Drosophila melanogaster: one gene and its partner. The gene in region 1 interacts genetically with each later gene. Each region holds a gene or a part of one and is shown on either strand. Other genes may lie near its edges.

Region 1 (7,194 bases):
TAAAGAAATTCTTATGAATCAACAGTGCAGCTGATGTTTCTACGAAATGGCCTCAACTCAGTCATTGGTGCATAATTCGGGGGAAAGGCTATGCTATGAGTAGATATGGCCAAGTAAAATGCATTCTGCTAAGAAGTTCCCGTTTTTCCATGGCGAACGACATCCACTTTGGGCCATAAACATAAGCACACAAGGTAGATCCATTCAGGCACGACTGCGTCAGATGCCGTTTACATGGCGATTACTTGCAGTGTGCGACTTAAAGATGCGGTTTTTTGTCCGCCGTTCTCGGAAATACCAATTGAGTCACCATCTTTCCCAAGCGCCTCAGCACGCTCCAAGGCGGCGACTGGCGGGCTAATTTAAGCGATTCGGATCTGCGGCTCCCATGACGCGTGCGCCAACGGAACTGGCGTTTGCGGCACCCGTTCGGAATATCAAATGTGTTAGAAATATTAGATGGGCTCCAACGTGGGGATAGTTTCATTGGTGGTGGTGCCGAGAGCAGAGCAGTTGTGCTCCGCGAGCTTTGATGCCGAGCTTTGGCCCGGCACCACTTTTACTTTCAGCAGCAACAAGTGCTGGCCGGCACCTTCTCACAGGTCAACTTGACCGACTGTGAGAAGCCCTACACTTGGCTAACATGGGTTTAGCCCGATAGAGAAGGTGGTAATCAACCACCCACTTGCCACAAAGTTTGGTTATTTTCAGCTCGGGGAAATTTCTATATTTTCGGGCTACCTATAAACTTGTTTTCTTTCTGGATTTAAATAAAAGTGATAATTCAATCGCTGCTTCTTTAAGTATACCTAATAAAAAAGCAATAAATCTCTAATCGCGTATGTTCAATAACAAGCGGACAGATAATAGTTAATTACTAAAATGGGTCGACGAAAAGGGCAAATTTGTACATAAGTGTTTATTAAGTACAGTATTCATTATTTCAAACGGAAACTTAATCATCCAAAATGCAGCTTTGATTGACTTCCGCAGATAACAAAGCTCTGACTTCGAGGCATCCAAACATTACTCTGTGGCTGCTCTAACTTTTTCGTAATATTTGTTTTAAAAAATTTTGCGATAACGAAGTTAATTTTTGGTGTCAAATGCCACTCAAACGATATGTACATTTTATGCAAAGCTTTATGGCAACTATGCTGATTAGAATGAATAAAATGTTTGTATGGAATTAGTTTTTGAAAGTATGTTTTTAACTTATGTGTTAAAATAGTACAATTGAGGGTTTGATATTCTTCTTAAAGCTCCAGTGATTTGTATTTGGTTTAACAACAGATGTAATTAAAAACGTTAGTCATTATAGTGTTAGTTTGATGTGCACTTACTTTTCTCCAAGTGTAATATGATTCAGATAATTCCGACTGGTAAAGTTTTTCGTGAAGCAGGCGCAATTAGTAGCACTGCTCGGAGTCAGCTGTGATAAAATCGCGGTCCGCTCGCCCAGACGTCCCGCTCCCTCGCACGACCCTCGCGCTCACTACCCATCCCGCTTCCACCGCCTCTGACCGGCGGCGTCTCGCTCGCGCACAGCGCCCGCTCCCGCTCACACTCTCGCAAGCTAGCTTAAAGCTGCACTTAAGCACTGAGCAATTGTTTGGGGGAGCAGACGAGTCGAGTCGGCGGCCTCTGGGCTCCACTTTTCATTTTCAGTTGCCTCCCAGACGTGCGCTCTCGCTGTCGTGTGTTCTCGATCGCGAGAAATCCAAATCGAAATCGCAGTCGAAATCGAACTTGGTTAATGCTTAACACTCTGCATGCCCGGGAGATATGGTGAAACTCTCGATCTGACCGGAAAATCCCAGCGCGCGTCGCTATAAACACTTAAGATCGGTGGCAGATGGTATCGGGCTTGAGGTCCATAAAAGCGCATTCATCTCGAGCTTTTCGTGTCACTCAAAGACGGCGCACAGAGCCGAAAAGTTGAAGACTCACATATCCTGCGATCAGCTACTTGGATAGCCCATTGCCCAGTTGCAAGCCAAATCGGTTATAAACGATATCAATATCGCGGCATTTCATCAGAGCAACCAAATCGAACCGATCCGAAAACGGTTCCACTAAAGCGGCGAGAGCGAAACTAAAGTGAAAAGCAAACCGACTAATTGAAGTGTCTGTCTGTGTGTCTCGCAAACGTGCAAAGGAAACAAACAAAACGGAATAGCCAACATATCACACAGAGCCACCGCACAAAATATTTATAAATAAATAAGAGGCAACAGTAACACCAGCTACCAGTATAAAGGCCCGGCATTAACATTTAGTCGTGCCAGTTTGTTTATTTTTTATATACGCAAAGCCCATAAAAAGAAAAAAACGCACAGATCACTAAAAAACAACAGCAGCCGGCGCTATAATAACAAAGTTGTAGAAATAAGAAAATTGGTATAAGACGCCACCGATCCGCCAATCACCTGCTATATACTATTACTAATCCCCGACGCAGACGTTCGCCGTCCGCAGAATCTATATATATTTATAAATCCAATTGATTAAGCCCGAGATCGAGCATGATGACGCCCATGTGGATATCGCTGTTCAAAGTCCTGCTGCTGCTGTTCGCCTTCTTTGCCACGGTGAGAAATTTACAATTTTACAAATTTCAAAACAGTCGAACCTCCATAAGGGAAACTTTCAAAAGAAGTTAAAGTTTTAAAATTTAAAGATCTTTGCGTCGAAACAATAATTTATTCCAAATCTATCTAATCTGATAAAAGGTTAAAGTCTCCTTGTCTTCTTAAGACAAGCACTTAAGATCTTAAGACTCCAGAACTTGATTTTTTGTTTATTTGAAACAGGTGCTCGCTTGTTCCAGTTATGAAAGTTCGACTGCATTTCTGTTTTTTTCTGTTCCGTGTTAATCTATGCTTAACATAACTGTCATTTCATTGCAATATATTTCGGGCTATGGGCTTTTTAGCTATTAAGATTTATTTTAGATTTTCCATAGTTGTTCTAGCAGTTCCATTAGCCGAAGGGCAGTTTCAAGTTTAAATTTAGTCACAGACTAGAAAACCTGTTCGCATTGCCAGCGGCAGGTTATGTGCAATTTTCATTCTCTATATGATAAATGCACATCATAGGCATTACAATAATATTAATTGACACAAACAATGCCAGACATTCTGCACACGACTTTGGAAGTAATTTACTGCCGGACAAATTGTATGATCATCTCTGTGAGAAAAGCAATTAGTTCGTATTAATGGCGTCGAATGTTAGAAAATCCGTTTGAAAAGCGCCCGAGAACTTTTGTCTTTCCGGTTTTCCGCGAATTCCGCAGCGGACCGGTTCTAAAGATCGTTTTCAGTTCTAGCTAAATTCCAATAGGTTCACGGAAAACCTAAAACTGTGATGGAAAAACGATCCAATGTTTGCCTTAGTTGCGTCTACGCCAAACACTGATGAACGCGTTTAAAAAAAGGTTGATTGCTAATTGATTGGGAAAAAACATTTCCGAGAAATCGCAAAAGTTCTCAGACAATCAAGTTCAGATGGGTTGGCACCTTAAAGCGGGTTTTCTACATGCTCGTCGAGACCCAATTTTAATTTGGGTAAATTCTGTTGACGATTCCATGGACTCTATTCAAGAATTTAAGCATAATAAAAAGTCTTGACGAGATTAGGGGCTATTATCAAGGCTTATTTATATCACTGCATATACATATATATATAACATAGAAATATTTTAAAGAGTAGCACTAAAAGTGCTGATAATTCTAAAATCGCCAAGCTATTTGCATAATTATGGTCCTCGGATTATCAATACATTAAAAGCAACTATTGGCTTGTTCTTTTATATAAATAACCTTCCGGTTGGATTATGTTGATTTTTATTCAGGATCGGCTTGCCTTTAGATTTTCCAATTATTCAGTCTTTATTGCTTGCGGAAGAGGGACATCCGTTTTCAAGTTGCTAAGCTAGAGGCAACTCTCGAGGGGATTATCAACTCTGATTTTGGACTCTGGCTGTTGTTATATGTATATAGGTTCGGGTCCTAACTCAACGGAACTATAGAATTGCGAGAGAAAACTGCGCTTGCCCGAAAAACAGCTGTTCAAACCTTTTGAATACGCAAATGTAGTGCCCGACAATAGAGAGAGAGAGAGAGAGAAGTCTGGGTTGACAAACAAACGAGCCCGAGCACCGACCCACGAATATATACTCCGTTGTCTTGGCAATGTTGATGAACTGCAAACAAAACTCTCACCTGTATCTTTCAGATAGTTTATATCAATATCGAATTAACGAAGCGACACGAGGCCGAGGTGAGGGCAGAGAAAACAGTGGCAGACTATAAGGCCCTTTTGGCTACCATTAACAATGGCGGACCCGGAAAGTCAGCATCTAATCACTTACAGGTGTGAGCACAGTGTCCCCGAGTGTCCCGAAACAGACCCAGTTGTATCGTTATGCTTAACACCTTAATAGCCTTAATTTGTCTGTGGTGTGGTCAAAACTTCTGAACCGAGACTAAAGTCTATTGTCTTGTCTTTTTATTTCGCCATTTTTGCTACAGTACGAGGCCAAGGAGTATGAACGTATCATCAAAGAGCTTTTTACAATAACCAATGATGAGGGAGTTGTCCTCTTTAATGTAAGTGTATACATAGGCAAATGCATGATTTCTCTGTAAAATGTGTCTTTGATGTGAAACGCAATTCATAGCTTCAAGGACGAATTGGTGCGCTGCTTTCTTATAACTACTCTTCATCCTATATTGCATCCCCATTTCACTGCTCATTTGGTTTCTTATTGGGTTGTGTGTTGTCTTTGTGCTTCCTTTTTTTGCCAATTGGCTAAAGACTAACACGAGTAAATTTTACCCGTACAGACGTCCGCGGACAGTGCACCCTTCATGCCCATACCCACCCAGCACGACGATCCGACCCAGAAACAGAAACAGAATCAGAATCAATCTCCGATACCCGAAACGAACCGCCATTACCATCAGTATCACAGCCTGATCCAACCAGATCAGTACTTCAAAGTGCAGCGCTCCCCGAATGGAAAGCTGAATCTGGTCTTTAACGATACGTTCGTATCTTTGCAGAGGACGGACACGGAGGTGCAATCCGAACAGCCGATACCCCCCCGACATCCATCGGATAGTAAGTACTAAGTATTTTAGCCTATATATGCTCAGTTACATTCGATACCCAAACATGCCTTACAACTAACTACTAAATCGATCCCATACTCACTGGCCAACTGCCTTTGGCGCTTGCCTAATTTTAGCCTTTGTCTTCCCCGATTCCCCCATAGCCAAGTATCGGCCACCACAATCCCCAGCTCGTCCTTTGAGGAATGACACTAAAGAGCACAATCCCTGCGCCAAGGATGAAAGCCAACACCTTAGAAACTTCTGCACGAATGTGGACGACTATCCGGACCTTTCAGGCCTCACACATAAGCTAAAAAACAACTTTGCCAAGTTCTTTAGCAACGATCTTCAGCCCACGGATGTGAGCTCTCGCGTTGGTGGCTCAGACGAGCGATTCCTTTGCAGGAGCATCAGGAAGCTGGTGTACCCAAAAAAGGGCTTGAGGGCGGACGACACCTGGCAGTTAATTGTCAATAACGATGAGTACAAACAGGCCATCCAGATCGAAGAGTGCGAGTAAGTTATAGCTTGAATCTATGATATATTCCATTAGCCTTGCTAATTGCCAAACCTTCCCTTCCAGAGGAGCGGATCAACCCTGTGACTTCGCCGCCAACTTTCCGCAGAGCTATAATCCAATCTGCAAGCAGCACTACACACAGCAGACCCTGGCCAGCATCAAAAGTGATGGCGAACTGGACGTGGTGCAGAATTCCTTCAAGATCCCTTCCTGCTGCAAGTGCGCGTTGAAGACTGGGTGATTCTGGAAAATGGGATTCTCCAGTCGATGGCTGCGACAATGTGATATTGAGGTGAGGCCACGATTTATTCGTACATTAAATTTTAAAAATAGGTACAGAACAGAAACGACTGACTACCAAGAAGTAGAGGATTTCAATGAATCCTTGCGACTTAAGGCGAACGCTTCACTTGACCAACTTGCGCAGGGTCCAGCCGACGGCGTAGAATCCCACCAGCTTTAGGGCCATTCCCTTGCTTTCAGCCTTCACCAAATGCTTAAACTTGTTCTCGAAATTGCCAACGACGCGATCCATCGGAATGAGATAGTATAATGTCTGCAATTCAGAAGTCTTGAAAATATGTTCGAATGCGGATTTTCGAACTGTGCTTTATCAAGTATTGTACTTAAATTCAAGAATAATGTTTCTTGTGATTCGAAGAGTCAAACTTTTCAGACTGAGACTACAACTCTAAATATGTATACAGCTTCATTGACATTATTTCCTTGTTAACTAGACCAAAAATATAAATTGTATCTCTTCTCTTTGCAGCAAGAAGTTTCACCCACCACAGAATGGCAGGCCAAACTGATCAGTGGTCATTGATTTATTCTATAATCTGCTGAATCCACACATAGACCAATGTGCATATTAATTTAGAGCTTTAAGTCGAGTCATTTTAACCATATTCGTGTCATATATTCATTTTTGACTTCCACGTCTAATGCCTAAGCTAGAAATGCAAGTAATTAGTCCTAGAATAAAAACAAAACAAAACACAAAACACAAAAAAAAAAACAAGAAAGATAGAAATAACGATTTGAAAAATGTATGTTAAAAAAAGATAATGTATAATAAATGTATGCAAGTACATGCCAGCAAAGTAAAGTTCTTTGAACCCATCAGCGAGTACCTGGTGGACAATTTATTTGCTTATTAACAATAATTCGGTTCGCCCCGCTGCGCAAACCAATTACACCCTAGTGAGTGTAAACACATTCCCCCAAAGGGGTGGTGGTTGGCTTTCACCGGCAAAAGGATAACATGCATCGACTTCGGCTTCCTGGCGCTGGATTTTTCCAACTGTCAGCGGGGCGTATGCGCGATGTGTCTTGAGGTGCTGGCGCTGGCACATGTGGAAATCAATAGTATTTATCGATTCCCAGACACAATAAACTATGTCAAAGTTAGGCCGAACAATGCGAATGCTTGTGGATTCGTTGTGGGCGGGCAAAGTGCCACAATTTAATTACTATTATTAGGTATCCTTCCCGTTTGGCCAAATCCAGTGTCGTGCCCTGGTCGATTGGGCATTGGCCAGGGTCATCAATCAT
Region 2 (4,561 bases), on another chromosome or scaffold:
AGGGCCAATTGCAGTTGTTTACAATCGAGTTGGCCAGCTCAGCGCAATCGGCACAGCCACAAAGGGACAGTTGGCAGCAAAAAACCATGGCATCGGACCGAAGATATAGCCAACATATTGTGAGCGACCACAATTGGACAGCTGATAAACTTAACCCGAAAACCGACAGCCTAACAACTCGTCGGCTTTTAAGTTTCGAAATCGGAGAAAGAGTCTGATCATTCAGATAGCTCAATTATCTCAGTCGATTTGGACAGTCATCAATGCAATAGGCAGCAACTTTACAAGTTTTTAGCTACTCACTTTCTTGGTACCAAATGCTGAAATACCTTTAATTATTACCAGATAAACACAAGACATGTGCCGCCAACGCATTTCGTTTTAATTTTACTTTTATGTTTTGGCTGTTTTTATGTTGAGGCTGGCGTTTTTCCATTTTTTTGCAATTGTTATCGAGAAATTTACACGAATTTTCAACTTGTTGCTGAAATAAAAAAAGTTTAATAAGACTAAACAATCAGTTTTTTGTCGGTCCTAAAAATGTGGACCTATGCAGATAGTTATGGGTAAACGCTTAAATTCGACAGCCGTCTGACGCCAGTTAGTGGACAAGTCAGTTACAGTGAGAGTTAAAAGTTAAGGTACCTGAAAAAGATAATTTAAAGTAATATATGATAAGACACACTTAAATAAAAGAGTAAAGGTATAAATATATTGAAATCTAGTATTAATTCTCGTAAATTAAAAATTCGTACCTCAATTTAATTTTTAAATGTTCTAATTTAATCGGAAAAAAGATTTCTTTGAGGCACTGTGCCATAAGAGTCAACTGTTGAATAAGGGTCAATGAGCTTAGCTTTGTGGACAGCAAGTGGGGAGATCGCGGAATCCAACTCTTGTAGAAACTATAGATTTGAGTTTGGCAAAAATTAAGCTTAGATCCCGAAGTTTGGCTAACGAACGAGGCGAGAAGACAGACATCGAGAAGAATCGCTTATATATGTACGAATGGCCAAAACTAATCGATGGAAATTACAAAAGCGGGAAGGTCAACTTTTCGACTGTCCATTGGGGGGGATGGGTTCAAAGGTAAACCTGTTTTTAATTCTAATTCTCCCTTCCTCTATGAAGAAATAGAAAAAACTAAAGTTCTTATTTTTGCCAACGTGGTTTGGATCACACGCAATATGTTCTATTCAACCGAACAAATTACCATTAAGGTCGGTAAACCAGCTGATCCAATAAAGGATATTGAAACAAGTGCCCGAAATTCGATTCCTTGCGCAGAGAATAAAGACACTTCGCTGTTTGGACGACCTAAATAAATATGTCTAAGTAGATTAATGTCAGATGTGGGGTAATAATAAAAATGTTGCCACAGACAAATGGGCTACAGTCACGTCCCCACGAAATCAGTCAGCCAGCGAACAAAGAGCGATCAAAAGAGCGAATAAACAGAGCCAAAGAGAGTCGAAGAAAATGGTAAAAGCAAACAGTGGTAAGCCGCCGCTGCCAACGTCTTAAAGTTGGCCAAAAAGGCGGCCAAGTGCCCCCAGGAACATTCAGTCAAGCCGCGATCGCCGAGCTCTACGGACGTCTATATCTCTAAGTCTTCGAATCGTGAATCGGAACTCAAGTGAACCCAAGTGCCGACCGGAAAATTCTTTCGGCCAAGAAAGGTCTTCGAGAACTAAGATCTCAAGCGATTGTGTTTTTTGTGTAATTGACATTGGATGTCTCTGAACGCCGAGCGATCGTACAAAATGAAACTGCGCGATGTGGAAAATGCCTTCAAATACCGGCGCATACCGTATCCCAAGCGGTAAGTGTGGTCTTCAGCCGAGAAAAAGGCGGCGGAGAAAAGATTTCTTTCACTCGAGAACGGTGTTCGTTTCAAAGGGGAAATGCAATTGAGTTCCAGTTTCAGTTAAATTGAAAACCGGTCATAATTGCCATTGAATGGCCAGAGAATCGAAATCGAGTTGGTAGATCGAAGATTGCGTTTGCCGCAGCGCTAAAGATTAAAAATACTCTGCTCTCGATTCTCCATAAAAAGCGCTTAACTTTCCGTTTTTCGCATCTGGCTAAAAGTGATAGTGTTTCAGGGTCGTTGTATTTGATAAATAAAATTAAATAAAAACTCCAATTGCTGGCCAGAGCAGTTCGAACATTCTTGACGGACTTTAAGTAGTGCCAGCCAGTAAATTAATTGCAGCTACACTAGAAGAAATAGATATTTTTGATCTTAAATTTAATATGAATCTCATCGACTTAGATGGGTTTATGTAGATCGACGAGCTTTAAGAACTTTATTTTAAAAAATTGATTGAGTACTTTTAATTAAGCTATGAAAAATTGTTACGAATGCTGATATGAGCTTCCAAGTACTGTATCAATTGAAAATATTTTCAAAAATTTATATATACAAAAAGGGGTCTATTATTTATCCTTTTATTTTTTTTGTATTTATTATTTATACTTTGAAAATGTTTTCTTATATTTTGAAGACTTATTAAAAGCAAGTATTAAAGCTTTGTAAACACTGTACTTCAACATTTAATTTTAAATGTTTCATAAACTTTTCTCTGTGCACTTGCGTCTGTCGTTTTTTCAATCTCTGCTCCAGTTAAAAGCTACAATCTTGTTTCTATTTTTTATTGCGTTTTTCATTTTCAATTCTTCTCATAATTCATTTGGTGTAGCACCTCGGGGCGGCAGATGAAGAGGAGGAAAACCACAAAAGCCGAGCTCACTTCAACTATTTCAAGTAGCCAAAAGAGCCGTGTCTTACCACCATCCTACCACTGCATTGTGTGGGCCTGCATTTTTCGGTGTTTGTTCTGGCCTTTTACAGAACCCAACTCGGCTCAGTTCGGGCCAAGTCAGCTCAGATAAAAGTTAAGAGCCCCCCAACTTGACTGCCCGCTCATTAGTCGATGGTCGATGGTCGACGGCCGGCGGTTTCTGCGGCCGCCCATAACAATTTTGGCTATTAAAAGGTGTTTAGGCCAGAGAACTGAGCCACTGCGTCCGCTATTGTGAAAGATTCGCTCTTTTTTCCGTTTGTATGGCCAAATTTGTTGCAACGAGTGCGTCGAGATGTAAACTAATGATATACCGACTACACATGTTATGGGCTAATTGGCTTTTGGGAAACTATTTCTTACCGTTTTTGTTGACTTTTTAAAAGGGTGTGAGAATTTGCTTTTCATTAAGGCAAAACGTGGTGAAGTCATGGCTCACAGCTATTTGCGTATAACTGTGAGATCTTAGCTCAAGCTAATGGCAAATTGGATCAACGACATACATATGTTTTATATTTTATTTAAACATTTTCCCACTTATTGAGTCCCTGCTAGATATCCTTTTTTCCTATAAAGCCCTCGTTAATTTTCGCGAAGCGAGGCCCATTTCCCGTTTATTTGCAGAACAAATTATTACATTAAATGTATGAATTACTGGCATTAATTAAACACATGGCTTAAATGTAGATATGTGTGATACTTTCTGTGGTTACCGCTGGCTGGAGCATAAATTTTACGCTCATTTTGACAATTTCATGCAGCTGCAAACTCTCAGTCAATCAGTTGGCCACTCAGTCAGTCTGCCAATCAATCAGGTAAACATTTATTTTTTATCCATTTCCGATGGCCAGGCGACTTAGTGAAACGAGTAATCTTGCCATTTGCACAACAAAATAGTGCAAATATTTGAATATGGATATGATTTATCACAACAGATACGAATTGTCCTGCAGAGAAACATAAATACATAAATTCCCAGCCATATTGCTGCGTACACTTACGTCGTTATTTGCACAATTCTTTTGTACGCTCTCAAATTGATATTAATTAATGAAATTAATTGGTTTTGCTTAAATAACTCGGCGACAGATGTTTGGCAGCTTCATTATCCGGACACGCGATAAATGAGCATACGTAGAAAATGAGTTCGTTGCACCCAGTTGAGAAAAATCAGTCGGAATCGATTCGAATCGATTTGAAAAGTCAAAAAAGACAATTATACGCTCAATGAGTGGAATGAAGTGCAGTTATGCAATAATTTCTTTCGAATTAGCATAAATTACGTTTCTGATTTGCTTTCCATTTGGATTAGGGTTTACCTAATACAAAAAACAAAACTCACTCTTATTTTCACTGCAAGCCGAAGCGTGACAGAAATTATTTAGAACGCCCCAAAAGAAAGAGGGCGAAGACTCAAGCCGCGCTTGAAAAGACTGTAGCTGGCTCTTCGCTGCCGAGTCTACAAGTCTTCAAGTCTTTCTTCTGTGCGCCTTTCTCAGCAATTCTTCTCTTTCTTGCCAGTTTCTTTCTTTCTCTGGGCGCCACGACATGCAGTCACTTACTCTTTGGTAATTATATTCAGTGATGTGATTTGTTTTTCTTTTCTTCATTTTCTTTCGAGTTTTGCATGCCGTTTTGTTTTATTTTGCCTGTCTTTCTGCAATGGAAATGATGCATATTGGGAATTTTACACGCTGCCGGTGGCCCGCGGGAAAGTTAATTATTGCTGTCTGTCTGCGGCGGGTGGCAAATTAAAA

What was found. A genetic interaction does not mean that the proteins touch.
Region 2: of spz (region 1) and pip, changing one enhances a phenotype caused by changing the other (phenotypic enhancement), as found in Drosophila melanogaster (one study listed by BioGRID).

Annotation. Positions count from the first base shown.
Region 1 is NT_033777.3:27,064,541-27,071,734, reverse strand, and holds spz (spatzle), read left to right. Parts: upstream 1-1,664; 5' UTR 1,665-2,525; coding exon 2,526-2,591; intron 2,592-4,239; coding exon of another isoform or gene 4,240-4,377; intron 4,378-4,535; coding exon 4,536-4,613; intron 4,614-4,850; coding exon 4,851-5,127; intron 5,128-5,254; coding exon 5,255-5,636; intron 5,637-5,703; coding exon 5,704-5,881; 3' UTR 5,882-5,932; exon of another isoform or gene 5,933-6,046; coding exon of another isoform or gene 6,047-6,175; exon of another isoform or gene 6,176-6,299; intron 6,300-6,412; 3' UTR 6,413-6,647; downstream 6,648-7,194. Other genes in the region: CG43935 (uncharacterized protein), read right to left, coding at 6,047-6,175. UniProt on the Drosophila melanogaster protein: The activated form, spaetzle C-106, acts as a ligand for the Toll receptor. Binding to Toll activates the Toll signaling pathway and induces expression of the antifungal peptide drosomycin.
Region 2 is NT_037436.4:19,334,603-19,339,163, reverse strand, and holds the start of pip (pipe), read left to right. Parts: upstream 1-1,554; 5' UTR 1,555-1,733; coding exon 1,734-1,822; intron 1,823-4,561. UniProt on the Drosophila melanogaster protein: Sulfotransferase involved in dorsoventral axis patterning in early embryos.